Linked DNA regions of Mytilus edulis. The protein of the gene in region 1 purifies or fractionates together with the protein of each later gene. This does not show direct contact. Links are inferred from orthologs where the notes say so. Each region holds a gene or a part of one and is shown on either strand. Other genes may lie near its edges.

Region 1 (16,448 bases):
TTCTATTTTTAGTCGTGGCGGCCATCTTGGTTGGTTGGCCTGATCACCGGACACATTTTTTTAAAGTAGATACGCCAAAGATGATTGTGGCCTAGTTTGGATTAATTTGGCCCAGTAGTTTCAGAGGAGAAGATTTACGAACTAGAGGCTCTAAAGAGCCTGTGTCGCTCACCTTGGTCTATGTGAATATTAAACAATGGACACAGATGGATTCATGACAAAATTGTGTTTTGGTGATGGTGATGTGTTTGTAGATCTTACTTTACTAAACATTCTTGCTGCTTACAATTATCTCTATCTATAACAGTACTTTCTGTGGAAAATGTTATTGATAATCTTCAAATTTTAAGAACATTGTTAAAAATTGACTATGAAGAGCAATAACTCCTTAGGGGGTCAATTGACTATTTTGGTTATACTGACTTATTTTTAGTTCTTACTTTGCTGTACATTATTGCTGTTTACAGTTTATCTCTATCTATAATAATATTCAAGATAATAAAAAAACAGCAAAATTTCCTTAAAATTACCAATTCATGGGCAGCAACCTAACAACCAATTATCCGATTCATCTGAAAATTCCAGGGCAGATAGATCTTGACCTGATCAACAATTTTACTTCCTGTCAGATTTGCTCTTAATGCTTTGGTTTTTGAGTTATAAGCCAAAAACTGCATTTTACCCCCATGTTCTATTTTTAGCCATGGCGGCCATCTTGGTTTTTTGGCTGAGTTACCGGACACATTTTTTTAACTAAATACCCCAATGATGATTATGGCTAAGTTTGCTTAAATTTGGCCCAGTAGTTTCAGAGGAGAAGATTTTTCTAAAAGATTACTAAGATTTACGAACAAGAGGCTCTCAAGAGCCTGAATCGCTCACCTGAATTTTTTTGGTTTAATCTCTCATCAATGATTATTTTGGCTTTTCAATTTATTTAAATGTTCTTTGAATCGTCCTATTTTCTTCAAAAGCAAAAAAAAATCATTTTCTTCTATGTTCTATTTTAGCCATAGGAGCTATGTTTCTTGACATACAAGGAAATGAAATATAAAATTTATACTAGATACTCTGAAACTCTGAAACTCATTTAGCCTAAGTTTGGCTGAAATTGATACAGGAGTTTCATAAGAGAAGATTTTTTAAAGTAAGTCAACATGATGAACAAATTGTGAAAAAAGTCTTTAAAGGGCAATAACTCCTAAAGAGGTCAATTGACAATTTTGGTCAAATTGACTTATTTGTAGATCTTACTTTGCTGATCTTTTTTGCTGTTTACAGTTTATCTTTATCTATAATAATATTTAAGATAATGACCAAAAACTGCAAAATTTCCTTAAAATTACCAATTAAGTGGCAGCAACCCAACAATTGGATGTTTGATTCATCTGAAAATTTCAGGGCTGATAGATATTGACCTAATGAACATTTTTATTCCATGTCAGATTTGCTCTCAATGCTTTCGTTTTTGAGATATAAGCCAAAAACTGCATTTGACCCCTATGTTCTATTTTAAGTAACGGCGGCCATGTTTTTTGACGGATCAAAAATCAAAGCACACACTTTGTGCAGGATAATCTAAGGAACAACCATGCTAAGTTTTAACCAAATCCATTCAGTAGTTTCAGAGGAGAAGATTTTTTAAAGTTAGCAAATATGATGAACAAATTGTGAAAAATTGTCATTAAAGGACAATAACCCCTTAAGGGGTCAATTGACAATTTTGGTCATATTAACTTATTTGTAGATCTTACTTTGCTGATCTTTTTTGCTGTTTACAGTTTATCTTTATCTATAATAATATTCAAGATAATGACCAAAAACTGCAAAATTTCCTTAAAATTACCAATTAAGTGGCAGCAACCCAACAATGGTTTGTTTGATTCATCTGAAAATTTCAGGGCTGATAGATCTTGACCTAATGAACATTTTTACTCCATGTCAGATTTGCTCTAAATGCTTTCGTTTTTGAGATATAAGCCAAACACTGCATTTGACCCCTATGTTCTATTTTAAGTAACGGCGGCCATGTTTTTTGACGGATCAAAAATCAAAGCACACACTTTGTGCAGGATAATCTAAGGAACAATCATGCTAAGTTTTAACCAAATCCATTCAGTAGTTTCAGAGGAGAAGATTTTTTAAAGTTAGCAAATATGATGAACAAATTGTGAAAAATTGTCATTAAAGGACAATAACCCCTTAAGGGGTCAATTGACAATTTTGGTCATATTAACTTATTTGTAGATCTTACTTTGCTGATCTTTTTTGCTGTTTACAGTTTATCTTTATCTATAATAATATTCAAGATAATGACCAAAAACTGCAAAATTTCCTTAAAATTACCAATTAAGTGGCAGCAACCCAACAATGGTTTGTTTGATTCATCTGAAAATTTCAGGGCTGATAGATCTTGACCTAATGAACATTTTTACCCCATGTCAGATTTGCTCTAAATGCTTTCGTTTTTGAGATATAAGCCAAAAACTGCATTTGACCCCTATGTTCTATTTTAAGTAACGGCGGCCATGTTTTTTGACGGATCAAAAATCGAAGCGCACATTTTGTGCAGGATATACTAAGGAACAATCATGTTAAGTTTCATTTAAATCCATTCAGTAGTTTCAGAGGAGAAGATGTTTGAAAAATTGTTAACGACGACAGACGACGACGACGACGACGTCGACGGACGCCAAGTGATGAGAAAAGCTCACATGGCCTTTTAGGCCAGGTGAGCTAAAAATGGTTAAAAATTGACTATAAAGGGCAATAACTCCTAAAGTGGTCAACTGACCATTTTGGTCATGTGAACTTATTTGTAGATCTTACTTTGCTGAACATTATTGCTGTTTACAGTTTATCTCTATCTATAATAATATTCAAGATAATAACCAAAAACAGCAAAATTTCCTTAAAATTACCATTCAGTGGCAGGAACCCAACAGCAGAATGTCCGATTCATCTGAAAATTTCAGGGCAGATAGATCTTGACCTGATGAACAATATTACCCCATGTCAGATTTGCTCTAAATGCTTTGGTTTTTGAGTTATAAGCCAAAAACAACATTTTACCCCTATGTTCTATTTTTAGCCATGGTGGCCATCTTGGTTGGTTGGCCGGGTCACTGGACACATTTTTTTAAACTAGATACCCCAATGATGATTGTGGCCAAGTTTGGTTAAATTTGGCCCAGTAGTTTCAGAGGAGAAGATTTTTGTAAAAGTTAAAGCAGGACGACGACGACGACGGACGACAGACGCCAAGTGATGAGAAAAGCTCACTTGGCCTTTCGGCCAGGTGAGCTAAAAATGGTTAAAAATTGACTATAAAGGGCAATAACTCCTAAAGGGGTCAACTGACCATTTCAGTCATGTACTTAATTGTAAATCTTACTTTGCTGAACATTTTTGCTGTTTAAAGTTTATCTCTATCTATAATAATCTTCATGATAATAACCAACTAGAGGCTCTCAAGAGCCTGTGTCGCTCACCTTGGTCTATGTGCATATTATCAATGGACACAGATAAATTCATGACAAAATGGTGTTTTTGTGATGGTGATGTGTTTGTAGATCTTTCTTTACTGAACATTCTTGTTGCTACAAATATTTCTCTCTATAATGAACTTGGCCCAGTAATTACAGTGGAAAATATTTCCTAAAAACATGACGAAAAAGTTGTTAACAATTGACTATAAGAGGCAATAATTCCTTAAGGGGTCAATTGAAAATTTTGGTCATGTTGACTTATTTGTAGATCTTATTTTGCTGAACAGTTTATCTCTATAATAATATTCAAGGTAATAACCAATATCTGCAAAATTTCCTTAAAATTACTAATTCGGGGTCAGCAACCCAACAACAGGTTGTCTGATTTGTCTGAAAATTTCAGGGCAGATAGATCTTGACCTGATAAACAATTTTACCCAGTCAGATTTGCTCTAAATGCTTTGGTGTCAAAGATATAAGCCAAAATCTACATTTCCCCTCCATGTTCTATTTTTAGCCATGGCAGCCATCTTGGTTGGTTGGACGGGTAACGCCACACAATTTTTAAACTAAATACCCCAATAATGATTGTGGCCAAGTTTGGTTAAATTTGGCCCAGGAGTTCTTCTTGTCAGGTTGTTTGCTGTATCAGTGAATTTTACCAATTGATTCAGGACTAGCATGTGAAAAATCTATCCCATTATTTATGTACATGTATTAAGCCATGTGAGTAACTGTCTCTTTGTGTATTAATCATCTCTTTAAACATGCATCCAATTTTAACTCAAGTGGAAATTTATAAAATATTGAAGGTCCTATATAAAATTCATTACAATCAGGTAAAAAGCATAGCCACCAGATGCAATCTTTGATTATAGATGACAAATTTCCAACCAATTTCTCTTAATTACAACTACTGGGGAAAAGACCACTTTCGAGTCATGTCCTCCACCTGAAACAAGTGAAAGTGTGAGCTACTGCTCACTGATGATACCCCCGCTTAATTATTTAGGTAAACAGGAAGTTGTTGAGGGATGAATCTGAAAACACATAACATGATATAGTTGACTTATATAAACCCTGAAACAAAATTTCAGAAATCCTTGTATTGTAGTTCCTGAGAAAGATACGACGAAAATTTTCAGCTATCATGTGTAAAATTATACAAGTGTTCGTTAAACATAAAGTTTGTGAGTGATGAATCTGAAAACACACCACACGTTATAGCTGATTAATAAAAACCCTGAAACCAAGTTTCAGAAATCCCAATAGTTGCTGAGAAAAATGTGACGAAAATTTTCAACTTGGCTACCATGTGTAAAATGATACACTGTAATTTCAGAAATTATTGGAAGCATTCATTATTGCAATGTTAAGAATGAACAAAAATGAGAGATCAATGTTTGCAATTTCATAAAAACCTGCATACAGATATATGTATGAGAATGCAAATTCATATTATTGTGATTCCCACCCAGTTGCATTATTTATATTGACAAAAAGGGTTAACCTGGCAATAATTTCTGAATTTACAGTACCTTTGATCAAGACTACATGTGGGTCAATTTAATAGGATTTAAATTAAAACACAAAGTATAAAAAACATTTAATTTCAATTATTTTGATCATCAACAATTGTCATTATTGTATACATGGTATACATGTCTATCAATTATAAAAATAAAATTGCACCTTTATTTAAATTACTATAATCAACACTAATAATATATTTATTAAATTGTCACATTTAACAGACCACCTGGAATGTAAAGTTCTTGCATGTGACTTAATTAGAAATATATTACATGCCTTACACATAGCATGAATATAGGATACTGAAACATGCCATGTTAATAATATTAATATAATGAGCAAATGATGAGTAAAAAATTCAAATTCTAGAATACATAAATCTAATCCATAGACTACTCCCTTTTCTCTAAACTATATCATGTATTTAAATATATATATTCCCAGTTTTAATTCATCAAGTTATTTCTTTTGTTTGGTCCAAATTCTAATATTTAGGAACTAAACTATATTGATATATATTTTCCCAGCTTTTATTCATCAATTTCTCTAAATTCCAATTTTCAGAATCTATTAACTATAAAATAATTTTGATATATTTTCCCAGCTTTTATTCATTAGAATGTTTCTCTATTTTGTCCAAATTCTAATAATCAGGTACAGTATAATCTTGTCTATTTCACAACTTCATTGTGTTGTTACTACTTGTTTTTCTTTCTTTAGAGTTTTGTATTGTTCTTTGAGATGTATCACTTTGGATTTTAGATTTGACACTTTTATTACACTGTCTGTTGCTTGTTTAAAATAAGCCTGGCTTTGACGTAAACTTTGTGGTACTAAAACACCAAACCATTTAATTGGGTCTTTGTAATTTTTAGTATTATTTGACATGTTTGAATTGTTCTGAGTTGATTGTTCTACATTTTCTGACCCAATAGTTTCCACATTGTCTTTTCCTCCACTTTTACGCTGTCTCAAACCTTCAGAAACTGGATCTATTAAACTCTTATCCAGACAACTGTTTGTGTTTACTAATTCAAACATTTTGTCGACACAGTCATCATCATCTTTATCTGTAACCAAAACCAGTTTGGAAGCTTTCATATTATTTTCATCGTACTGTGAAACACCAACAGACTTGGCCCCCATATTGTATCTAGCCCTTGACATCATCAAGAATCCACTTTTCATTATATTTTCTAGATCTGCTTGTTCTTGGTAAAGTTCTCCAACGCATTCGAAAAACTCTACCAAAACTTCATCTAATCTTTTGTTTACAGCATCCATAGTTGACGGTTTCTTTTCACTCATATTCTTTTATCCTGTCAAAATAAAATAAAATAGATTTAAGGTATGGTATACACCTAAAACTTCAGACACTTTGATAAATATGATAATATTAAGAATGCAGACCATCATGACCATACATGTAATATATTGTGTATTTTTCTAACACTCAATGGATTTTTCTCAGCATATTCTTGTTTAGAATTGAACATTACAAGACATTGATTTCTTGGAAACATCCAGCAGTTCCACGTTATGTTGTTTGACCTGTTTGAGAGTAGAAATACATGTAGGGTCAACCTACTCTTATTCTCCTTAATTTTATGTTTTAATCTAAAAATATCTACATGTATAGTCATGATAGTGTATTTGCAGAATTCTTCTTAATTTTTGAAGACTAATATTATAAAGTACATTAGGATTAGAACTTGTTTATTCTGATTGATCTGTTTAATCTATTTATCACTGCATGTGTCAAGCTATATTAATTCATCTTTATATAGCACATTTTGTTACTGTTAATTATTGTTTTTCCTTAATTTGGTAATTTTATGTTTACATGTAGAAAGTTACATAGACTATTTATTTTTCTAAAGAGTTTTTGATGTTGACTTTGTTTAGTTGATTAATCTGTTTATCACTGATGCGTGTCAAGCTTTTTTAATTCATTCACCGACGCGTGTCAAGCTTTTTTAATTCAATCTGTATATATATATATATAGGCATAATAGCACATCTGCTTATTGGTGATTGCGATTAATCATGATTTTATGATTTTATTGTATAATATCAGTGTTTTTAGTACAATGTAGTGGTTGGTGTTCAACAGTGTGCAGTGGTGTTTGACTTTGAAAAGACCCACCCCCAATTAACATGATTAACGTGAGACTTGCACATGTTCATGCTTATTGCGGCATTTTCCTTCCTTCTTAACAATTTTGGTCAAATCTCAAGCCTTTGTTTCATGAAAAATTTATTATCCTGTTGATCATTGTCTCTTTACAAACTAGTACTGTTAGCTGAAGAAGAGCAATTTCAAATTAATAACTAAAATGATGGTTCATTGTCTGTCATTTTTCTTCTTCCAGGTAAGGAATCAGATTCAAAGCTGAATGTTAATGGTTCTGCACGAAAACTTTACACAGTGTCGGGCAATACAGAAAGTTTTCTCTTGGCTATTTACAAATTACATTTACAACGTTCGCAAAAATATACACACAGGCACTTGTTTCTGTCAATGTGGGGTTTACTATCCATACCAGTACAAAAAATCTTTGTACTGGTATGGATAGTAAACCCCACATTGACAGAAACAAGTGCCTGTGAATATACAATTAAAATTATTTACAACTGGTTTTTCTTACTTCCTTTCAGAGCATATGTAAGACATAATTGTGTCCTATGAAAAAGTGTCCACATGGACACTTTTTCATTGAAATTTGGTATTTAATAATGTCCATTGCCATGGAATGGTGTCCCTCAAAAGGACAATTTTTACTGCTAACAACATGAAATAGTGTCCACTCACAGGACAAATTTTCATAGTAGTTGCTATTAAATTGTGTCCTCTAAGGGAAGTAATACAAAGGTCATTACAAAGTTTTATTATACTTAAATTTTAATTAAAATATGAAGGATTGGTGAGAAATTGATCAATATACAAATGTAATTTGTATATTGATCAATATACAATTTAACTATTGTCAGTTTATTGTCTTAATTTTGTATGCCATAACCATTTAATGTAAATGTGTTTGTGCGAATAAAATATTGTCTATTGTCTAGTGTCTAGTGTCTATTGTAAACAAATAAATAATGGATGGAAGTGAATATAGAGAAATTTAAGTTCTAAGAAATTCCCAACAAATGGTTATGACAATGAAAGAATAACAATAAGAAGGAAGTGTAAAATCAAATATGAAGAACTTTGTAATATTTATTATGTCAGATAAGAAGGCAATAGAAAACAAGAATGTGTCCTCAGTACACGAATGCCCCACTCGCACTATCATTTTCTATGTTCAGTGGACCGTGAAATTGGGGTAAAATCTCTAATTTGGCATTAAAATTAGAAAGATCATATCATAGGGAACATGTGTACCAAGTTTGAAGTTGATTGGACTTCAACTTTATCAAAAACTACCTCGACCAAAAACTTTAACCTGAAGTGGGACAGACGGACGGACGGACAGACGGACGAAGGAACGGACGCACAGACCAGAAAACATAATGCCCCTCTACTATCGTAGGTGGGGCATAATAAATAATGTCCATTGCCATAAAATATTGTCATTTAAGTGGACAGCATTTTACAGCAACAGTTATGAAATATGGTCCATCTGCTGAACAAATTTTCGTAGTGAATGTTATTTAATTGTGTCTTCAAAGGAAAATAAAATAGAACAGCATCTAACATGTATATAATTATATTAAAAAAAATAGATATGAAGATAAGGATGGTATGAGTGCCAATGAGACAATTTTTATGTCAAAGTAACAATTAATTCAAGTTCATAATTAAAGTTAAAATGCGTCCAGTAATAACAAGGCAATGGAATCATTTAATACTTTAATCATATCAAAAAGTGCCCTGGCGGACACAATGTCCTGTGAAAAAAATGTCCACCTGGACAATATTATGGTAGTGAATAATGTCCATGTGCATGGACACTTTTTCATACCTAAGGACATGTTTTCATAGGAAATTGTGTCCAGGACACATTTAAATAAGTAAATATTGTCAAAATGTGTCCAGTGGACATTTGGCCCAAGACCACAATTAATGACCCCGCTTTTCGTTGTCCACGAATATAGTTCCTTTTAATTAGAGTGTATTTTTCCTTAATTTTTTTTCTTTCCTTTCCTCACTCATTCCTTAAATCTTTTTGGGTGGAAATGAAAGAAGAGAGGTCAAATAAATTTTTGGAGGTTGTATTTTAACTGATTTTTATATGGAATGAGTGATTAGGTCAAGTGCAAAAAGGTGATATTTACAGTTTTCGGAACTTCTCTTGACTTGTCAATAGGGGTATGGATGTGTATTGGCTAAATTTGTAAAAGTGATTGCTTCAATCTTTCTGAATTTTGGATATATATTTGGACTAGGACAATACATTACACACACAAAAAATTGGACAAAAGTGCATGGTGCAATTTTTTTAATGATGCAAAAGGTTATAAAGAACTGATAGAGGAATTAATTGTGGTCTGTGGCCATTTTTTCATGGAGGACATTATTAAATCCTACACATGCCTTTAGGTATTTTTATCATGACAATCTACCCTACCAACTGTATTTTTATTTTGGAATAAGAATTGGATTAATCATTAATCAAAGCAATGGGTGATACAGTTATAAGACTTACACCTACAATACATCAAGATAATTTTTGCACAGGTCGAAATAGGATTTAAGTCATTTTGGGTAAACTCGCGAGAAGTATCGAAGGAAAATCACGCGGGAACAAATTAAATATCATATTTCCGGTGATAAATATATTTTTGTTTTGTTTTATGTTTATTCTTCTAAATCATGTCTTGAAGTTTGACTAAACTGAATCATTTGTTATGAAATATATTTTTTTAATGTATCTCGAGTATCTCCCATCAATAGTTGACCCTCAATATTCAAATAACAAATCGCACTTTTACAGTCGGTTCTTCTTTTGTCAGGGTTTTGTTAAGTCCGAAATTTCTTTTTTTTTTCATTCGGAGCTTTTCGTTACTTTTCATGCATCTTATGTTACAAGGTTTGGCATTCGTACAGCTAGCCAAATTCCTTACATATGTTTGGAAATGGAAATGGATTTCGACACTTGTTCATCTAATGTGAATATTGATGATCTGCCTGAAGAAATATTAGAGTTTATTTTATCCAAGGTTTCACCATATCGTGATGTCAAGTCATGCATGCTTGTCTGTCGTCGTTGGTACCGGTTAGCTGCAGGTAAAATAACATGAATAAAACCAAGGATTGGTATAGTCTATGCAAAAGCCCACGAGATTCCAATCCTTCTTACTATACAAATCCTTGATAAAACTAAAAGATTATTTCCTTAATTTATAAAACCTGACTTCGATTGCGATTTTCCTCATACTTAATGAAAGCCTTTTTATATTTCTGAAACTGTTATTTTTCAGACTTATATTTACATTGGTATTATAATGAATAGATCCAGAGATGCAATAGCCCTGAACCTTCATCCAGACAGCTTCTAATCTCTATATACCTTATCACTATTTGAAAATCTGTCAGATATTTTGTATTATGACGTCTGAATTTTAAGAGAAATTCAGCATAAATTTCAGTGATGTCCACAACAGTCCAGTAATGGCAGGCAAACAGTGATAAGGTGTTAAACAACCTTCCTATATTATTTATTGTTAATTTGTGCATGTCCTAGACTAGTCCAAATAATTATGACATCTTGAAAGGCTATTCTAATTTTTTTCTTTGACGCCTTACTTCGACGCGTCAAAGAAAAAAATTATTATAGCCTTTCAAGACGTCATAATTATTTGGACTAGTCCTAGATGTGCATGAAATAATTTGCCAATGGATTATAAGCAATCAATCAATCTTATTCTAATATTGAGAATTATCATGATTATACATGTATGAGAAGAAAAAAAATCACAGACAACTTTTTAGACTAACAAAATATCAAATGGATAATGAACAACATACCCCTAGAGCTGCAAAGGTCATCCTCAGATGTAAAACTGTCAAAGATCATAAAATTTCTGACCCTACAATGGAAAAGTGATTGTTGTATGACTTCAATTGTTTAAGCATAGCAGATGCTCGGATCAAGAGGTGCAGATCTCCAAATAATAATAATAATAATAATAATAAGAAATTCTTTATTTAAAGAGGGTAAACTCAGTTAGTTACAATAAACTAATCTTCCCTGAGGCCCTCACATACATGTACAAATTACAATACAATCAAAACAGATATTTACACATAGTTAATTTACACTCTTGTAGTTCAATGTATTGTTATTAACATAAGATATAATGCTGTTTAAGATGTATACATGTAGTCAAAAAATCAAATTTTGAAAATGAAAAATTAAAAAATATACAAATACATTGTAGCAAACATTTCTTATCAGGGTTGTGTTAGGTACTTCTTGATACTTTGCTTAAAAGTAAAAGTGTTTTGAGCTTTACGCATTGTGTGTGGTAGTCCATTCCATAAAACTGATCCAGAATAAGCAAAGGATTTCTTAAATAGTTCAGCTTTTGGCTTAGGAACTATCCGATTACCTTGAGTGACATGTACACCTCTTAACATGCTTAAGGAGTAAGGATTATTATCTGATTTCAGTTTAAACTTTTGAACTAGGTACATTGGTGCTTCCATACGCATACATTTATATAGAAGTAAATATTTGTGGTATTTTTTTCTATTGTCAGCTGTCATCCACCCAAGTTTTCTAAATAAGGGGGCTGAGGGGGGTAAATCTGCATCTAGAATTAATCTTGCTGCCCTTTTTTGGAGTTTTAAAATTCTTGTTATCCGTTCATTTTTACATTCACCCCAAATAATACAGCAGTAGTCAATTAAGGGAAGAATATACCCATTGTAATATGTTTTCCTTGCATTTATATCTAAAAAATTCTTTATTTTAGAAAGAAGGTATGTTCTGGATGATATAGTAGGCTTATTAGCACAAACTTGGTCAATTTGATTTTTCCAGTTAAGTGTGTTGTCGATTTTAACACCTAATAATTTTTCACATGAAGAATTTTGTAATACTTTTGAATTTATTATCAAGTTTGGTTGACAGGTCTGAAATAGGGATAAGGTGTATAGAAGATAATAAAATAAAGCGAAGGGCGACAATATAATGTTTCTTCATATTGATTTTGAATTCATTGGAATCTTTGTTGTTATTTTAATACCCAACCAATGATGAATATGTAAACAATCATGACAATCCTTAAGAAAGTTTTTTTGAGTTACAACATGTACAATGTAGATCACATTCTATTTAACTGTATAATCAGTGTTTTGATGTGCCAGGTATTGCCATAAATTATTAAATAGATTAAAATAACAAAAATGATGATTTATCAATCATGTCAATATTGAAATAAAGGAGATGTGGTATGATTGCCAATGAGACAGTTATCCACCAAAGTTCAAATGAATTAGATGTAAGCAATTATAGGGTTTCCCCATTTCCATTTTCAATTTTACTAACCATGTTGTCAACAATAATCTTTTTATATCAAAGGTGTGACAAGACAACTAAGACAGACCTTTCAAAACTGTGTATATGAGAGTAAAGTGAAATGGACAAAAATTGCACCAGAGATCGATATCATACGGGTAACAGAAAGATACTCCCATTGTGCTTGTTATTATGACAAGTCATTGTATGTATTTGGTGGATGTACATCAATGAACACGACCTTTAATGACCTCTGGAGGTTTGACCTGGCAAGGAGAGAATGGATTAGGCCATTAGCAATGGGTAATTTTATGTAGAAGTTTGGATTTTACAAGCTGTTTTGGCCTATGGGGTCGTGTAGCAGTGTCACATGGTTACATTGATTATGGGGAAATTAGAATAGTATGTTTGATTTTCTCAATGCTATAAAGTCAAAGTATGGTTTTTTTGTTAATGTTGTTTTATTTGATATTGAAAATAAGTTTAAATGAAAAAATTATGATTGAACTACAAATGAGCAACTAACAGTAATTATTAATATAATGTTGAACTGCAAGGATTAATAAAAAGGGGCCTACACTATTGACTTTATTTTTCCAACTATAAATATAACATTTATCATTGAAGATTTCCTACATTTTTAGCCAAGGAGTAAAGAGAACATCTTTAATCATTTGTTAATCATATAACAAATGTTTTTGTTGCAGGAACCTATCCATCACCTAAAGCCTGTTCCAGTATGGTGGTATATAAGGACAGCTTGGTATTATTTGGTGGATGGAGTCATCCTACTCCTTATCCCTTACACCAGGTGGGTTATAACGAATTCGAAAAAAATCAGGAAATACAAAAAAGCATACTTTGTTGTGTGTAAGCTATTTATAAAGCTACAGATTGCTGTGCAAACTTAAAACTATTCATATGAAAATAATCTATTGTTGGTAATTCTTTCTTTATGGAATGTATTAATGGTCGGCCAGTCTTGACTTGTAGTATGAATATTTGTCTTATAGCATGTTCAGATTTTTTTTTTATTTTGGTTCAAAAATAAAATTTGCATGTGCTTGATGTATATGTTTAGACTGAGGTAATGACACAACTCTCCACAAAGCATGACAAGATACCATTTGACACAGAAATTAACAACTAAAATGTATATATGTCTCAGTCAGGCCTTCAACAATGAGGAAAACCGATGTACTATGGATTCATTATTATTCGTTGGATACTAATTTTTGTGGGTATAGGTGAACCACGAAATTAGATGAATGACAATTTTCCTATTGGAATGATTGGCATGTATGTAGACTTCAGCAAAACCACAAAATTAAGTATCCACAAACGTGCAAGTTTTCCTTGATCCACGAAAATTGACAACGGTGAAAATAATTGAATCCATAGTATCTGGTTTGAAAGCTGATTTTCAATAGTAAATATTTTAATTTATGACAGTAAATGTGTAAATTCAGGCTTCAGTGTTGGTTTATTTGTATTAAATCAAATACCAATTTTTTGTCATTAAATGAAAAGTAAAAAAAGATTTAGATTTTGACATGTTTGATGTTTCACCTTTTCCAGGCTGCAGGATTTTTCTATGAATTACATATGTACAAACCAGAGGTCAACAGATGGTACCTAGTGACCAGTATTTCTAGAGAACATCCACCACCTACAGCAGGCCATTCAGCTTCTATTGTCAAAGATACTATGCTTCTGTTTGGAGGCTCTAGTGTGCCTGGAATAGGGTAAGTTTATCTCAATCCCATCTTCTAAAGCAGGCCATTCAGCTTCTATTGTTAAAGACACTATGCTTCTGTTAGGAGGGTCCAGTGTTCCTGGTATCGGGTAAGTAATTCTTGATTCAGCAGGCAACATGTGCTCTATTGTGAAAGACACTATATCCTCCTGTTTGGAGAATATCATGTGTTCCTTGTGTAATCTATAACAGGCCATTAAACTTAAATTGAAAAGGACACTATATATATTAGCTATTATGCTTCTGTTTGAAGGTCCAGTGTTCCTTGTATCGTCATCAGTTAATCCCTTATCCTCCATGTTAAAAGCAACTATGGTTCTGGTTGTACATGTTGTAAAGATTATATTGGGAACACATATTATTATGTCAATATAAACACAAGTAAATGACAGAATTTAGAAGAAAAATAATGAGAAGATGATCTTATAATATTTTTTTTTAGAAATTCTTTCATCTTACTATTTCTGGCTCTACATGTAATAAAAAAAAACAGAATGTGCTGTGCACTCCTTAATGACTCCTGTTACACAACCTTGATCTTAAAGATTTTTATCCAGTTGCCAAAAAAAACCAACAAAGCCTTAGAGACAATTTCCTGTAAGTTTTAATCATATTAACTGTTTATTTCAGAACAAATGACTTGTGGCGATTTGATTTTATAGATTTAACATGGAAGAAAATAGTAACAGAAAATAAGAGACCAAGTCCCAGATTTGGTCAGACACAGGTATGTACAGTTTACTCACTGTCATCTGCATCAGATAAAAACTTTAAAAAATAAAGAATGGAAAATATCTCAGTGTCAGTGATATATGTTCCTCTGGCAAAAAATTTATAACCATGATAACATCATCTGTAACATTTAAAAGCTGGATGATATTTCATCTGGATAGAATTTTGCTTCACATACACACCTCATGGATGATGATTAATGTTGATTGGTTTAAAATATCCTTTACTATTTAAGTGACAGTCATGGTTGTGAAAACTTGAAACTAAGTACATATATGCACAAACAAATTTGTTGTGATGTAAACTTTCAAAAGTATAAGCAAAATGAATGTTTTGATCCAGAGAGGAGGATTGTGTGCATTGGACATATTCTATATACAATTTAGAAGATTTGGTATGATTGTCTATGAGACAACTTCCCACAAGAGACCAAATAATGTTAAAGTTAGCAATTATAGGTCTGTCAACAATGAGCTTAACCTATATACAAAGCAAGACATAAGAGGCCTCGAAAAGACATATGTTAAACAATTGTAAAGAGACAATTTATGCCCTAGTTTGTAATTGTAAAGAGACAATTAATGGCCTAGTTTGTAATTGTAAAGAGACAATTTATGCCCTAGTTTGTAATTGTAAAGAGACAATTAATGGCCTAGTTTGTAATTGTAAAGAGACAATTTATGCCCTAGTTTGTAATTGTAAAGAGACAATTAATGCCCTAGTTTGTAATTGTAAAGAGACAATTAATGCCCTAGTTTGTAATTGTAAAGAAACAATTAATGCCCTAGTTTGTAATTGTAAAGAGACAATTAATGCCCTAGTTTGTAATTGTAAAGAAACAATTAATGCCCTAGTTTGTAATTGTAAAGAGACAATTAATGCCCTAGTTTGTAATTGTAAAGAGACAATTAATGCCCTAGTTTGTAATTGTAAAGAGACAATTAATGCCCTTGTTTATAATTGTAAAGAGACAATTAATGCCCTAGTTTATAATTGTAAAGAGACAATTAATGCCCTAGTTTGTAATTGTAAAGAGACAATTATAGTTTATAATTGTAAAGAGACAATTAATGCCCTAGTTTGTAATTGTAAAGAGACAATTAATGCCCTAGTTTGTAATTGTAAAGAGACAATTAATGCCCTAGTTTGTAATTGTAAAGAGACAATTAATGCCCTAGTTTGTAATTGTAAAGAGACAATTAATGTCCTAGTTTGTAATTGTAAAGAGACAATTAATGCCCTAGTTTGTAATTGTAAAGAGACAATTAATGCCCTAGTTTGTAATTGTAAAGAGACAATTAATGCCCTAGTTTGTAATTGTCTTAGTGCTGTTCAGTGGTTATGTGTTATTTTTTTTTTTTTAATAATTATTCAGTTTATTGCAATATTGGTTGTTAACAAATACCCTAAAAGGTACAACTATCCCAAATAGGTTTATCCCTGTGTGTGAATTATCAAATGTGTTATATGTTA
Region 2 (17,129 bases), on another chromosome or scaffold:
TTATCTTAGCTTAGCTTTACTATTGATAATTATAAGTAACACCTGTAATCTGTTGTGCTTTTCCCATACCACTGTTTGTCTTTCCTGAGGCTCAAAAGGGAAAATTACACACTTGTAAGGTTTGTGTCATTTAACCATTGATTATATCTTTAAACTTTTGTAAAAGTGCAAGTATACTTCAATTGATATGTACCAATTTATATAAGAAGGAAGAATTTATCGATTCATTTCTATATATCAAGGGAAATTCAAGTTGGATTTATAATTAAAATTAATTGGTTTAAACACATAAAAATGATGATTTAAAAAATACTTCAAAATGGTAATGTTGGTGGCCATATTGGATTTCCAATCATGTAAATAAAGGTTACAATGTACTAAATCATGGGTGCAGCCATTTTATGAAGGGAACATGACATATAGATAACAAGAGTGCACACGCTGAAATGTCTCGCTTTCTATACTAATCATTGATATTATGTTGATAGTCCTAAGTATAAAGCTAAGCTTAATTACAACTGTCACATAAACTTAACATTAACCAAGATAACTAAACAAAGACCAATGAACCGTGAAAATGAGGTCAAGGTCAGATGAACCATGCCAGACAGACATGTACAGCTAACAATGCTTCTATACAACATATATAGTTGACCTATTGCTTATAGTTTAAGAAAAATAGACCAAAACACAAAAACTTAACACTGTGCAATGAACCGTGAAAATGAGGTCACGATCAAATAAACCTGCGCAACTGACATAAAGATCATAAAATATTTCCATACATCAAATATAGTTGACCTATGGCATATAGTATTAGATAAAAGACCAAAACTCAAAAACTTAACTTTGACCAATGAGGTCAAGGTCAGATGACACCTGAAAGTTGGACATGTACACCTTACAGTCCTTCCATACACCGAATATACTAGCCCTATTGCTTATAGTATCTGAGATATGGACTTGACCACCAAAACTTAACCTTGTTCACTGATCCATGAAATGAGGTCAAGGTCAAGTGAAAACTGTCTGACAAACATGAGGACCTTGCAAGGTACGCACATATCAAATATTGTTATCCTATTACTTATAATAAGAGAGAATTCAACATTACAAAAGCTCTGAACCTTTTTTTCAAGTGGTCACTGAACCATGAAAATAGTTGATTCAAAACGCCATTTAAGGAGATGATTGATAAAAATAGCATTGCTGGCAATGGGGCCAACATTTACTACTTTCTGGAACTAACAGAGCCACCATTTTGAATTCTGATTTTTTTGGGTATACATAATTGTCTCACAAAATAAACATAGTCACATTTTTAGCCTAAAAATCTTCTTTTTGTAAACATTTTATTGAAACCATTTTGAAGCATTTGAAAGTTATAAGTACATCTAGGGATCATATTTGATATTGTGAGTATACGTATGACATCACTTTTTATCTCACTTAGTAACATCCACATTCAAGATCTCAATTTTGATAAGGGTAGTCAGTCTTCCTGTAAAAGGTCAGTGGTTCATTTTCTCAAGATACTCCCAATTTCTCCACAAAAATAAAACAGAGTTCCAATGTCCACCGCATATTGCACTTATTTAATATTTCCGAAGGGGCATAACTCTTTAAAAAGTTGATCGTCCACCATTTAAGAACTTGTCCAAGATGTTGCTGATATTAACCTACAGTATAAGTTTTATAAAAATCTTACAAGAATTGTACTCATGAGAGTTAACTTGGCCACTTTCAATAAATTTAATATTTCCATGGGGCATAACTCTTAAAAAATGTAATCGTCCACCATTTTAAAACATGACTGCAGAGATAGTATACAGTGGCTTTTGCAGTTAAGCTAAACATCCAATACATTCTTCCTCACGTAAAAATTACTTCATAAATTCTGCTACAACTATCATTTATGAACAGTTTAAATAACAGAAAATTAAGCAGAAACAACTGACAAAACTAACATACATGTACATTGTAGCCATCCAATTTACATGATGTTCAAGAAACTATTTAAACCTATGAAACAAATTATCAAAGAGAAACTTGATATCTTGTCGGATATTGTCAACTGATTTGGCCTAAATCATGCTTATAATGATCCTATTCTACAAAGAACCTTCAACTATTTGTTAAATTAATCAATTTCTGCTTGTTAATTTAATTGTGTAAAATAAGGCAGTGCTTGTTTGATTTCCAATCGCTATCAATACTTCTGTTTACATCCCTTATAGATTAATGGTCATTTAACCCACAGAAATATATTTAGGCCAAATATAAAAGATGTGTTTCCTATTACTCCACCTCCTCTATTTTTTAAGCATAGAAATAGCCTACCCTAAATAAAATTTCATTTTTTCAATAAGCACTGTTAAAGTCAGAATTTCTCTTCCATATATAGACTGCAATAAAACAAAATTAAAAAAAAACTCTACCTACCTACATTGTTTGTAACTACTCAATTTTTTTTTTAAAGATGTAATCATGGTAATAGAAAACACACATATTATTTTGTTTGGCCTTATCAGGACATCAACAAATCATAATGAAACAGTTTTATAAAAGATTAAGGCAATCTATAGAAACTATTAGACATTTGTTCTTTAAAAGAACTGGTACTACAAAATGAATGGATTTGCATGGTTACAAGCAACTAATGTATACATTAGTACATGTACATAAGTTTAAATGAAAAAGTCTAATCATTGGATATACAGATTAAAATATGCATCAAGCAGTGTGATCTTTCAAAGCATTTTATTGGGATGATAAAAATCAATTACAGTGCATCAATGAACTGGATCATTTCAGGGAGTTACTATTTAATCCATTAATATTTTGTGCCTTATTTAAGTTCTCATGAAGATTTGAAACATTCCATCTAAATTACATAATGTACACTTAATACTCTGTCGTGACTATCATGTCACTTGTACTATTAACACTTGCATTACATTTTTAACTAAAACTTAGAAGCAACAGAAATTTACTTGTGTTTGAATCTCATAAACCCTTCAATAAGATAAGAAAAAAAAAAGAAAAAAAAATTAATGGAAGCATATGATCTCCAAAAAGTAATAAGATGCATTGACAAGGTTGGTTTCTCTTGGCCTTGCAATGAATATGCAGCACTAGCAATGTAAATCCACAATTAGAAGACTATTTTAAATATTTTAAATTTATTCTGCATATTTGAGACTGTGAAAAATGTCAACTATTCACAAAAGAAATATTAAATATCCAATTACAAATGTACCATGAACTGACCAATTATGTTTTATTCTTTACAAAAATAATAATAGGTTACATTTTTCAGTTATCTCCCTTGGCTTATAACTGTTTAGCTAGAACATAGATTCTTGAATATTGTGGAAACTTTATGCAACTTGTGTAAATGCTTGTTTGAAGAGAATAAAAAGTGTATGAATCAAAAGCAAGACAATTGTGGTGGTAGGGATTAAAAAGCATTTTTTTCAATCTTCACACCAAAAATCATTTCAGTTTTTTGAAATGAGGCATTTCATGGATAAACTTTCCTGAACTAGATTATATAAGGTCCACCAACGGTGCAAGGGCTGTATAGCCAGTCAACGTCACTAAAAACTTCCATTTGATGATATAAGGTCCTGTTTTTATGATTTATAACAAAATGTACAATGGATAACAATAAGGAGTTTAACTGACCTTGTTCCCTATGACTGCCCATAATGGGTGTCCTTTCTCGTTGATATCCTCCATTTTGCACAGATTCACTCTTAATATAACCATTCACATTGATCAATTTACTAGACAAGTCTACGGGATTTTCATACCCGCCTTGAGCCATATGACCATTTAGGTTTCTACGTGTCGAACAGACGTTTTCTTGTCCCTGATACAAATTTTCATCATTTTGTAACATGTATCTTGCATCAGTAAAATGTCCACTGTGTCCATTTTGGGCCTGAGGTGTGCAGTGTTCATAATGTGGGTCTGCCAATGCTTCTATTGTGTATCCATAGCCTGCCTAACAGATATAACATTAAACATGATTAAACAATGTGTATAATCTACCCAAGGGCCAAGGCTCATGCAAGCTTGCGACTTAAGGGCTACAACCTTCATACATTTTGTAATACTAGATACATGTTCATGTACAAATTAAAGAACCTTAGTGAGGACGCTCACATACCCCACGTCCCCACATTGTCATTGGAGAAATTAAATAAGTATAAGAAAAAAAAATTGTATAAGAAAAAATACTGAATAATAATTTCCTGTCAATATACACATCTCCATAGTATGTCCTTATTATCTACAAAATTTCATGAAATTCTGTTGTGTGTTTTCAGAGGAGTTGAGATGACAAACTGTTGCAGAAGTACATTGAAGCAAATAAGTTCAAAGGGGCATAACTCCTAGAAAAAAATTGAATTGTAATTTCCTGTTGATATGCACATCTACGTAGTATGTCCTTATTATCTACAAAGTTTCATGAAATTCTGTTCTGTGGTTTCAGAAGAGTTGAGATGACAAACTGTTGAAGTACAACATGTAGTACATAATGTATCTTAAAGCAAATAAGTTCAAAGAGGCGTACATGTAACTCCTAGAAAAAAATTGAATCGTGATTTCCTGTCGATATGCACATCTACATAGTATGTCCTTATTATCTGAAAAGGTTTCATGAAATTCTGTTATGTAGTTTCAGAGGAGTTGCGATGACAAACTGTTGCAGTAGTACATTGAAGCAAATAAGTTCAAAGGGGCATAACTCCTAGAAAAAAATTGAATTGTAATTTCCTGTTGATATGCACATCTACGTAGTATGTCCTTATTATCTACAAAGTTTCATGAAATTCTGTTCTGTGGTTTCAGAAGAGTTGAGATGACAAACTGTTGAAGTACAACATGTAGTACATAATGTATCTTAAAGCAAATAAGTTCAAAGAGGCGTACATGTAACTCCTAGAAAAAAATTGAATCGTGATTTCCTGTCGATATGCACATCTACATAGTATGTCCTTATTATCTGAAAAGGTTTCATGAAATTCTGTTATGTAGTTTCAGAGGAGTTGCGATGACAAACTGTTGCAGTAGTACATTGAAGCAAATAAGTTCAAAGGGGCGTAACTCCTAAAAATAAAATTGAATCGTAATTTTCTGTCGATATGCACATCTACGTAGTATGTCCTTATTATCTACAAAGTTTCATGAAATTCTGTTCTGTGGTTTCAGAAGAGTTGAGATGACAAACTGTTGAAGTACAACATGTAGTATCTTAAAGCAAATAAGTTCAAAGAGGCGTACATGTAACTCCTAGAAAAAAATTGAATCGTGATTTCCGGTCGATATGCACATCTACATAGTATGTCCTTATTATCTGAAAAGGTTTCATGAAATTCTGTTATGTAGTTTCAGAGGAGTTGCGATGACAAACTGTTGCAGTAGTACATTGAAGCAAATAAGTTCAAAGGGGCGTAACTCCTAAAAATAAAATTGAATCGTAATTTCCTGTCGATATGCACAACTACATAATATGTCCTTTTCATATAAAAAGATTTTGTGAAATTCGGTTGTGTGGTTTGAGAGGAGTTGTGATGACAAGAAACAGGACTGACGGACGAAAGGGTCAAAAACATTATACCCTCCGCAATTGTAATTAACATACTTTTTTATTTAAACAGTCTTATTTTTAGTTTAAGTCAGGAGAATCCTTGATATTAATAAGTTGAAATTAACTTTGACTACATGTAATTAGCTTTCATCAACTATACATGTATGTAAGTACTCTTTCATACGTGTACTTTGCATCTTTTGTCTTTTTGATAGAACATGTACTTCTTACATCTGAGGAATCAAGCCATTTCCAATTGATTTTTTAATTTACAGTTGGTTCTGTTGTGTTGTTGTACATCTTTCTAATTTGATCTCTTCTGTCTCATTGGCAATTGAATTTAGTAGTGTCAGCCCTTTGATTATGACCCGTGTATATAGCAAAATCCTAAATACACCGTTTGGTGGTGCGCCTGTCAAATGCGGAACGTACAGATAAGGTAATATCTAACAGGTGAATATATACTATTGGTATCGGTATCGGATTAGACCCGGAACTTGTTAATTATTGGCAATATTTATAATTATGTGGAAAACAAAAGGGTCTGGAGTGGTGTAATTTTTAATCTACACCATTGTCCTATATTAGTTATATATAGAGTTGAATTCTTTGATTTGTCGTTTTTACCCGATGACGGCTGACAAATTGGACCTCGTAATTTTAGTATTATAGATATCAATGTTCTATGACAAGAAGTTCCTATCAAACTAACTTAATATTGAAAATTGATTATTAATTCAAAAGTTGCTAAACCATGACCATGATAACCTACGGTACAGGGTCTTGAAGTAGTCATCAATATACTGATAGTAAATTTTAAGCAACTTTATAAATATAATGATGTCGACATGTGATAATAGTTCCTATCAAATTTACTCGAGTACAAAACTCTGAAAAAATTGTTGAAAAAGATGACAATTTTCTTCATTTTCTTCGAAAAATCTATCCATACATGTATGTTTGGCTTTCTGCAACTTTAGTTGTAGCAAGACAATAATAGGGTACAAGCGGAATGAGTTGCAAATGTGTGAGTTGTACACAATCTAAAGGAGTGAATAAACCTTAAAACCATTTTTTTCACTCATTTCAGCAAAAGATCACCAGTGCATTATTTTTTTGGTGACCTCAAACTAAAATAACACTAGCTAAAGATGTGAACAGTTTGCATATTTTATAATAACAGTGTGCATTTTTTATTAAGTTTCTTCTTACATAAAACTTACAAGAACATTCTTACATTTTAATTCATCAGAATTATACATGCAAGTTTTTAATATTTTATAAATTTGTAAGCTCCTGTGAAAACTGCATGACTTGGCAAACAAATTTTATTTGTCCAACTATTCTATTGAAAATAAAATTGCCTTTGTATTTAAACTTTAAAATTCAGCCTTTAATTTAAGTAAACAATCTTTTAAATTGTTGATGATTAATCATGTAAATATCAACCACTTGTTACAAAGTATACAAAACCGTGGGAAAAATTCCCACGAGTGTAAACTCATTAGCGGTGTCTGTGAGGTCAACTTCTAAAGGTCAAAACAACTCTGGTGATCATTTCCAATATAAAGAAAACTTTTGATGAAATGATAAAATATTGCACAATATATCAAATCGTATTATTTCTCTTCGTCAGACAAATAAAATTGAACATAATGATTGTAGACTCACCTGGGAAACATATAACTGTTGATTATTCATCTTGAAAATATCGGAAAATGTTCAAAAAGAAATCAATCAGTCAGGTGTTAACTGCATTATAATTCTGAGCACTTGTCCAAATTTGATATATAACACGAGTCAACATAACAAGCTCATCTATAATACGTATCCTTTCATTTGCAATGAGTTACCACTGCTTTTTGTTTTACTCCTAAAAAGAGCCAGATTCAAGTTGTAAATAACCTAGAAGACCCGTGGGAAAACACATTTGCATCTTTGATCGTGAGAACAATGATCAAGGGCTGTTACAATCCACTCCCCCTTATCCACTTTTAGAAAAGGGACCATATGGAGATTAAAATAGTTTTTGGTTACGTTCTATACGTGATAAACTTTTGCAATAAATATTTCATTATCAATTATTCATTATATAAATAAAATATTCCATCAAATCAAATTAAAATAGCAAATTCCGGCATGATAAGCCTTCTGTAAGAAAGTAGGTGCATTAAATTAAACAGCCAATTACAGAGAACGTCGCGTGCCGATTGGCTGTTGACTTTACGATTCTAGCAGGTGTTCCCACGGCATCATTCAATCTAGGACAGTCACAAATTTGCAAACTTCACTGGTGCACCATCGAATGCAGCGTGATAGATGCCACAAACAACGCTATTTGCAGTATAGTGCAGTGTGCGATTAAGCTGATACTGACTGGATAGTTTTCCACTTGAACAAATTACAGTTGAATATTTTGACCTGTTGACCCACTTTCAGAAGTTCCCAAGTGAGCCAACATCCAGGCTTACCAGAATCCATCTAGTATCCAACATTAAAGATCCAAAAATTTGATGACCAGCTTTCATATGGAAGAAATTCTGAACCCAACCACCTTTTCAAGCGTAGTTAAATCTTTAAAATTGTACATACTTATATTGACATTTAATTTAATAGATTTATACATTACCGGTGTTTTTAAACTTTATTATTATTTTTTTCAAGAAAATAATTAAATGCTTTCAAGCTTTAAAACTACTCACCGACAGTTACTGATGCTGTCCTGGATCAAGAGGTCAAAACTTCAGGAAAGTTCATTCAACTTTAACAATACCAAAAAAAATCTAGGTTGATGCTTTTATAGCATATCAATATTCCAAAGTATATTCAATCCATCAGTGTCCTGCATTAATTTAGATGTTATATAAGTTAAAGCAACGGAATAATAAGATGAAATGCAAGTGGGACCCAAGTTTCAGAACTTTGCAAGATGGCGCATATTTGTTGTCAATGGGCATGCCCTATTTTGTACCTCTTATTCTTCTGAGTTGTTTGAAAGTACTCAGTGGGCCAATAAGTATACAATTTAAGACCTTTAAACCAAGAGAACGGAACGACTGTGAACATTTTCTTGGGAAAAAACGCCCAAACACATGTCACTACAAATTTATTATATTCTATGAGCAAATTTATCCCTCATTGAACCCCTGGGAAAATTTGTAGTATTAGAGTCGAGGTTAAGTGTGGCGAGAAAAATGGCGAGAGTTGTTTACAGTTGAAGCAAAAAGCAACACAAAAAAAGAACATTGTGTAATAACCTGCTTGCACTAATTTTGCTATCATGTCTGCAAACGACAATATTATCGCCGATTTAAATGTCAATACCAGCAATTCAAATAAAACCGATTCTGGTGAAATCAATGCTGTAATTACTCGAATTGATGACGCATCGTCAAACCCTGGTAAGTCATGCCACGATTTAGCATAACTTTTGGCTTTATCACTGAAATAGAACATCATTTTTTATACAGAAAACAGACACAAAACTTTTGTTATTGTCTTTTAAAAAAAAGCCAAATGTTGCAAAAAATAAAGTGAAACCACACATATGGACTTTTTGCCAATTTTTGTCAAAATTTAGATCTTCATGCACTTTTTAAAAATTGCATGCCAAAAAGTATATGTTAGTAAAACACTTGTCATTTTTAGTTTTGTAACCAACATGAATACCCTGTCATGTTGTGGTTACCATCTAAAATTAAAATGACGAGTTTTCTATTTTTGTTTAAAACAACATATGTATGTAAGTGATACAAAGCTCCTTAATCTTAACTTATGATATCGTGAAGTCATATGTTTTCATTACTAATCAGTTCTAGATAGCAATGTGCATAGTTAAAATAAAAGTAGGTTCGCGAAATCGCACCTGCATGACGGTATTTTAAGGACAGATTGAGAATAAAAACTTGCTTCAAGCAATCATTAATTTCAACATTTCAAGATTTATGACATTTATAACAGTAAAGATAATATTTTCCGATTTTAGCCTACTTTACGTTATCCCCAAAACAACCCCAACTTCATCCCCTCGGTTCATAAATAGCATAGTTTCAAATGTAAACAAAACTTAGCTCGAAAAGAAGGATAAGTCCACATACGTAATACACAATTGTAAGAATTGGGGCCTAAATTAAAATATTGTTTGTTTGCCCTTTTCCGACCCTATGTTTTGAAACAGGGTAGGTAGGTAGGTAAAATATTTTATTTTTTTCCCCAAAAAAATTACTTGACTCTGTATATTTTTTTACATGGGTAGGCAGGTAGGTATAATATTTTATTTTATAGATACAAAATCTGCATAATGTCATTTTTTGTCTGTTTTGCATTTGCTTATAAGTTTGTGGGACAACGTTTTGAAAAAAAAAATATCATGTAGAATGTGAAGTTAATTCATATGGCTTTTTTTTTGCACTACTATTTTGTTTTCAAATATCAAAATAAAGAGCTGTGTCGCATATTTTCAACGTTCATTTATGCCTGTAACTTTGAAGAGATTTAAATTGCACTAATATTCTGTACTACATACCTTGTGTGCTTACCTCTACCTAAAGGTTTTCTGTAAGAGATTACTTTGTCCAGGTTAAATATGTCCGGGCAGACATACATTACTATAAGAAAAAGTCCCTAGAGTGTTTAAATTTCCGTGTGTGCCCATGTTTCCAATAAAAATGCTACAAAACTTGAACTCAATTGTCACGTATTTTACATCGCATTTATAAATGATTTGTATGGAAAACTTTGGTGATTTTACTGCCAAATATTCTCCACTTTACAGGCTTTTGTCACCTTTGGTTCATGTCAGATATAAATAATATGGCAATGCTGGTCGAAGGCATCGTTAACCATGATAATCATCCTAATCTACGGATCACAAAAGGCCATCCCTACATAAAATACAACGTCCGTTTACACAAAATAGTTTGTACAGACGTTAATAATTTTTTATTAAACAAACTTTTTTGTAAATGAACCCTGCTCTTCAAGTAAAAAGATGCAGAGTTAACGTACGTCATATCATTATTTCAAAGCGTTTAACATCGATTTCAAACAAATGCTTTGAAACTCTATGCATGCTATATGCAAGTGTGCATGTCAAACCCTCACGTGATACCAAACGGACTTGACCTTATACGATAAAGATGAAACCCGAGGATTCCGGTAAAAAAGTTTTGAGCGGGAAATACAAATATAAGATTTTTGGTAGGACGAAAAAATAAAATAAAATCTTGCTGGTAAATGCAAATTAAAGATTTTCAGGCGGAACGAATTTATAGGGTTGGTCGGTAAAGGGCAAACAAACAATATTTTAATTTAAGGTAGCACAATACAAAGATTTTTCATCCCCAATCATACATCTTTAAACTGATGTAATTCCACTCATCTTTCTTTGAATTTTATAAATGAGGTACCAAAAGAAAGAAGAAGGATTAATCTTTCAAATTGTGATAATTTCATTATGACATAATTATTACATCATTAATTGTTATGTAATTAGTTGCCATATTGTGATGTCTATACTTGAATGAATTTAGCTTCTTTGTTTTTCATAGCATCCCAAAATATTTTATAGATTCTTGCACAACACAGTTTGACCTCCAAAACTGTGTCTCAGATTTTTCCTATTGTATTTCATTCTCTCATAAATCTTCAATGAAGTTTGCAACATGAAATCATAAGAGACCACTAAATTCAATTGGGTATAAAATTTGTTCTATTGATGTTTTTGGAAATCTGAGACACAGTTTTGGAGGTCAAGCTGTGTTGTACAAGAATCTATAAAATATTTTGGGATGCTATGAAGAACAAAGAAGCTAAATTCATTCAAGTGTGGACATCACAATATAGCAACTAATTACATAATAATTAATTATGTAATAATTATGTCATAATGAAATTATCACAATTTGAAAGATTAATCTTTCTTCCTTCTTTTGGTACCTCATTTATAAAATATAAAGACGGATAAAATGAATTACATCAGTTTAAAGTTGTCTGATTAGGAGTGACAAAATCTTTGTATTGTGCTACCTTAAGCCTGGTGTGACGTCGCTATGGAAAAAATTCTATGGAACGCAGTTTGTGCCATATCTTATCAACTATAAAATTAATTCAATTAGATTATCGGAAAAGTAATGCCCTTAAATATTGTTTATGAAATTGTTACTGTGACAAAAAATATTTATAACAGCTGTGACAACATCTAATGATAAATAAGGATTGGTTCAATAATTTAAAATCATCTAAAATTAATATTCAATGCATTTTTTTGACCTTTAGTGATGATTCCTTGGATATCAGTTAAAGATGCCTTAATTGATCGATAAGGCTAAAAGTTCATAAAAAAATATGTTTTCTAGAGACAAATGATAGTGAATTGATACTTTTCTTCAATTTGCGTAATTTGAAATCTTCTATTCATATCAAAGTGAAACATGCTCACCATACTATACTTTTCACAACTATCGAGAACTGATCAATGACGTATTGTTCTGACACAATGTCAAAATTGAGCACAACAACAAATGTTTTGATTTTTTCTTGAATTACACTAGAGAAAATTGTGAGGATAATAGGAAATGAATAAAAGTATCTACTAAATTAACACAATCAGCTTTAACAACATTTTTTGAAGAACTGGCCCTATGGAGCAAAAATGTGTTACACTATCGAGAACTGATAACACTAGGATACCACTTATGATACCACTATACTTTTTTAAAATTATAGACCAATTTAAAGTTGATTTTTTTATGCCCCACTTAGGGGCATTATGTTTTTTGATGTGTGCATCTTTCCTTTCGTCAGTCTGGACCACTTTAGGTTCTTGGTTAAAGTTTTTGGTCAAGGTAGTTTTTGATACAGTTGAAGTCCAATCAACTTGAAACTTAGTACACATGTTTCCCTATGATACATGTATGATCGTTCTTAATTTAATGCCAAATTAGAGTTTTGATCCCCTTTTCACAGTCCACTGAACGTAGAAAATGAAAGTGCGCTTCAGGTTCCCTATGACATGATCTTTCTTATATAATGCTAAATTGCCAAATTAATTAGAGTCTTGACCTCAATCATGTGTCAATTACTAATTTATGTTTATTTCATGGAAAGGAATATTCTACAAAACTAAAACCAGAACGAAATATGATTCTGAAACTATTTTATCTTAAATTATTTATATTAAATTATTTTGAGATTGTATATCTAATTGGTCATAGCTAGCCAATTGCAAGATCTCAAAAGATTGACAATGGACGTGTGAACCGGTGAACCCAAAATTAATATAAATGCAATGCACATTTTGTAGGAAAATATAGACAGATATAAATTATTAGCAGGGGTAAAAGTTTTCCCTTGCTTGATTTCATATCATAAATAAAAATTAAATTATTGGTTACATCATTGTTAAACTGTATAAGAATGATTATTTTTTGCAGGCCCACACAAATAATGAAATTAGTTCCCTATTTTCAATTTTCAGGTAATACAGTTTTCAATAACAGAATAACTAGACTTGTTGACCACATGTCCAAAACAACCAATCAAAATACAGAGTACAAATACAAATTAGGGTTAGTTATTGTCTTGCAAGTTAATAATATGTCAGCAATTTTTTTAAGCCATATTTCATTTTGACAAACTAAACGAAGGTGACTGCTGAGTGTGAACTGTTATCTTATATTTCTATCTTGTAACTGTTTGAAACTTGAAAAAACATATTTACTTTTCAGGATCTGATGATGTAGAAGAAATGTGTTTAGGGGATACCACAACAATGGATCAAAGTCAACCAGATGTTTATACTCCTCCAGGAGAAGATAAGTCAGTTTCAAACAGTGACAGTGTAACAGGAGAATCTATGGAAACAGATAAATGGGCGTTGCCATCTACCAAAAGAAATGAAAAGTCTAATGATATTGATAAAGAAACAAACAATAGCAGCAAACAGAATGAAGTGTCTGGAAATGAGGAATTAAAAGTGGAATTACCTCCCTTGAAAAAAGACACCTCTGAGATGTCAGACTCTAAAAATGACTCGCAGATGTCAGATACTAAATATTCAGATTTGTCAAAATTTCAAAGTTCAGAATCAGAAATTTCAAATTCAGAGACAATGTCTGTGAAGTTACCTCCCTTAGAAGGGGACAGAACAGAATCAGAGAAAAATAATGGTGCTACATTACAGGACTCATTAAAACCAGAAACTACAGATTGTGAAAATGAGCGTTCTCAATCTCCAATGGATGACAAATCTAGTTGTGGATCTTTAGAGGGTGTTTATCAAATTAAATGGGCAAAGTTCAAAGGAAAAGAAGTACCTATTATAACACAGAATGAAAATGGACCTTGCCCATTGTTGGCAATCATGAATGTTTTATTATTAAAAGGAAAAATCAAATTTAGTTCTGATACTGAAATAATTTCCTCCGAACAAATGATGGCACATCTAGGTGAATGTATATTTGCCAATAAACCACAGGTAAAATATTAACTGCCAGTCTAAAGAAAGAATCAGGCAATTTTGAAAAAAAATCAAAACATTCCAAAAAAACCAACTAGCAACATAAAATCAACATGTTAATTGACAAAAAATTATTGAATAGGTTAGAATTGGTTAAATTCATTGAGAATAAGAGAAAACGTTATATCATAGCAGGCATATTTATTTGGCAAGTTGATGTTAGAGAGAGAATAACCAATCTAATCTAATCAAGAACCCATAAAGGGCATCATTTAACAACAATATTATGCACAATATTATTGGAAAAAGCAAAACAGAAACCTAATACCATACTATAACTTTATGGGCAGGATCAGAGCCTAACACAACATGTGTCTTACATAACTATTACATGAAATCTCATAATATAATAATAAGATATTATTTCATATATTTTGTTTACATCTGGATCTTATTTCTAAACCTTTAATTATGTAATTTCCTGGCACATGAGAGTTGGTAAATGCTCATTCGTGAAATTATTCTGCCTCATGACTTGAACATTTACATTTGATGTCATTTAGAATTTTTGAAAATTTTTATTTATCATTTTGGTTTATATTTCAGAATGCTACAGAGGTTGTGCAATTAAATTATGAACAGAACATGCAGGATGCCATGGCTGTTATTCATAAACTACAAACAGGGCTTGACGTTAATGTTAGATTTAACAGGTAGGTATGAAATACAAACAGGTCTTGATATTAGTATTAAACTTAATGGGTACCAGTAAGTATGAAATACATGTACAAACTGGTCCCAATGTTAATATTAGATCTAATGGGTACCAGTAAGTATTTCATACAAACTGGTCTGGATGTTAATACAATGTATTAGATTTAATGGGTACCAGTAAGTATGAAATACATATACAAACTGGTACGGATGATAATATTAGATCTAATGGGTACCAGTAAGTATGAAAAGCAAACTGGTATGGATGTTAATGTTAGATCTAAAGGGTACCAGTAAGTCACATAAGTTTGAAATACAAACTGGCCCGAGACCACAATTAATTCCTCTATCAGTTCTTTATAATTTGTCTCATTGAAAAAAATCTACCTGTGTCTTTTGTCAGATCTTTTGTGAGTGTAATGTACTGTACAAGTCCAAAAATATATCCAAGTTTCAGAAAAATTGCTGGTATAGATTTTGCAAATTTAGCCAATACACATCCATACCCCTATGGACAAGTCGAGAGATGTTCCGAAAACTGTAAATATTACTTTTTTGCACCTGGCTTAATCACTCTTTCCATATTAAAATCAGTTAAAATAAAGCATCCAAAAGTTTATTTCAGCTCTCTTCTTTCATTTCCATCCCAAAAAAATTAAGAAATATATGAGAAAGGGAAAGAAAAAAAAATAAAGAAAAAATACACTGTAATTAAAGGGAACTATATTCGTGAACAACGAAAAGCAGGGTCATTAATTGTGGTCTTGGGCCTATTTGGGGCCAAATACTTGACCAATACCAATAAAACTTAGCATGATTTAAGCTTAGTGTATTATGAGTCAGTTTACAAAGTTTCAAAGCCATATGATATATATTAAAGAAAATGTGGCATTTTTTATATCTCAACTTTGGTTGCTGAGTTGTGATGTTGAAATAGAACAATTTCAACTTTCAAATTTTGGCTTCAAAAATGCCACAAAAACAATAAATTGCACTTTTTAATGTCTCAATGTATAAGATATTATTTATTGAAAGAAATATTTAGCATACTAAATGCATCAGAAAATGGACCAACAGTTGATTTTATATGACCCTGTGCCAAAAAATAGAGGTTTTCAAATGAAGCGAGACTTTATAATATAATATATGAAATGTAATATTTTATTTTTACTTACAAGAATTTTCTGAAATTGTTTAGTTAAATCAAAACCTTCTACATATCATAAATGTTCTTTTTATGTAAATATAAGTTACAAATACAATGTAGCATAACACATGAGAATGACATGGTCTTAAGCAATGTCAAGCTTAAAAAAACAAGTTGTCAATTTAGGCCGTTCCCTATATTTTCATATTAAATTGCATATAAATGAAATGGGAGATGGAAATAGGCTTCTTTTTGCTCAAATCCTTGCTGAGATATGATCAAATATGAAGCCTGGATGTAACAAGACTGCTGCTTTTAACTATATATGTAGATAGTATGGTCTGATGTAAAGTTTATTCACTTTACTGTTTAAAACCAGCATGAAATTTCGGCCTCAAAAGGACAATATTTTAACCATCAGTCATCCAACAGAAGAAAATAAAGGTTGTCTGTGAAACAGACAAGGTTCAACAACCAGTAATAAGGGCTTTTGATATAGATTCAGTGCAATCAGTTTAAGGAATACAATTTTTTTAAGTGCATAGAGCTTCACATTTCACTTGCTTCATACGGACCGTTAGACTTAGACCATTAAAACAGCACTTTGCACTCTTTTTATGTTTATGTATATCTACTTTTTCTTTGTGTTCAGAGTTCACAAATGAGAAAACAACTGAAATTAATATCACAAACACTAATAGATATCAGAAAACACCTGTCAAAGAAAAAGTAATGATGCCGCTTTTGCAAAAATATTGAAAAAAGTGAAAAAGCTACATTTTGGGCAGATAAGCTGAAAAGTGACTTTTTTTTTACAAATTTCCATTTCTTCTCATGTAGTTTGACAAATTAATACCAATAGATCATTCAGAGAAGCTGTCAAAGTAAAAATTCTAAATTTGCTGAAATGCACCTCTTAGGCCCGAGACCACAATTAATTCTTCTATCAGTTCTTTATAACGTTTTGTCCCATTAAAAAAAATCTACCTGTGTCTTTTGTCAAATCTTTTGTGAATGTAATGTACTGTACAAGTCCAAAAATATATCCAAGTTTCAGAAAAGTTGCTGGTATAGATTTTACAAATTTAGTCAATACACATCCATACCCCTATGGACAAGTCAAGAGATGTCCGAAAACTGTAAATATTACCTTTTTGCACCTGGCCTAATCACTCTTTCCATATCAAAATCGGTTAAAATAAAACATCCAA

The links.
Region 2: the proteins of F-box only protein 42-like (region 1) and recombining binding protein suppressor of hairless-like purify together in Homo sapiens (affinity purification with mass spectrometry; 3 studies listed by BioGRID and IntAct, counting the BioPlex papers as one, with this or other methods). This does not show direct contact. The link is inferred for Mytilus edulis from reciprocal best matches to the Homo sapiens genes FBXO42 and RBPJ.

Annotation. Positions count from the first base shown.
Region 1 is NC_092356.1:55,205,630-55,222,077, reverse strand, and holds the start of F-box only protein 42-like, read left to right. Parts: upstream 1-10,016; 5' UTR 10,017-10,100; coding exon 10,101-10,251; intron 10,252-12,550; coding exon 12,551-12,790; intron 12,791-13,194; coding exon 13,195-13,298; intron 13,299-14,065; coding exon 14,066-14,232; intron 14,233-14,873; coding exon 14,874-14,970; intron 14,971-16,448. Other genes in the region: coiled-coil domain-containing protein 115-like, read right to left, coding at 5,706-6,329. UniProt on the Homo sapiens protein: Substrate-recognition component of some SCF (SKP1-CUL1-F-box protein)-type E3 ubiquitin ligase complex. Specifically recognizes p53/TP53, promoting its ubiquitination and degradation.
Region 2 is NC_092350.1:41,713,108-41,730,236, forward strand, and holds the start of recombining binding protein suppressor of hairless-like, read right to left. Parts: upstream 7,763-17,129; 5' UTR 7,301-7,762; coding exon 7,271-7,300; intron 4,010-7,270; coding exon 3,688-4,009; intron 38-3,687; exon of another isoform or gene 1-37. Other genes in the region: ubiquitin carboxyl-terminal hydrolase MINDY-1-like, read left to right, coding at 8,880-9,000, 13,327-14,075, 14,664-14,770. UniProt on the Homo sapiens protein: Transcriptional regulator that plays a central role in Notch signaling, a signaling pathway involved in cell-cell communication that regulates a broad spectrum of cell-fate determinations.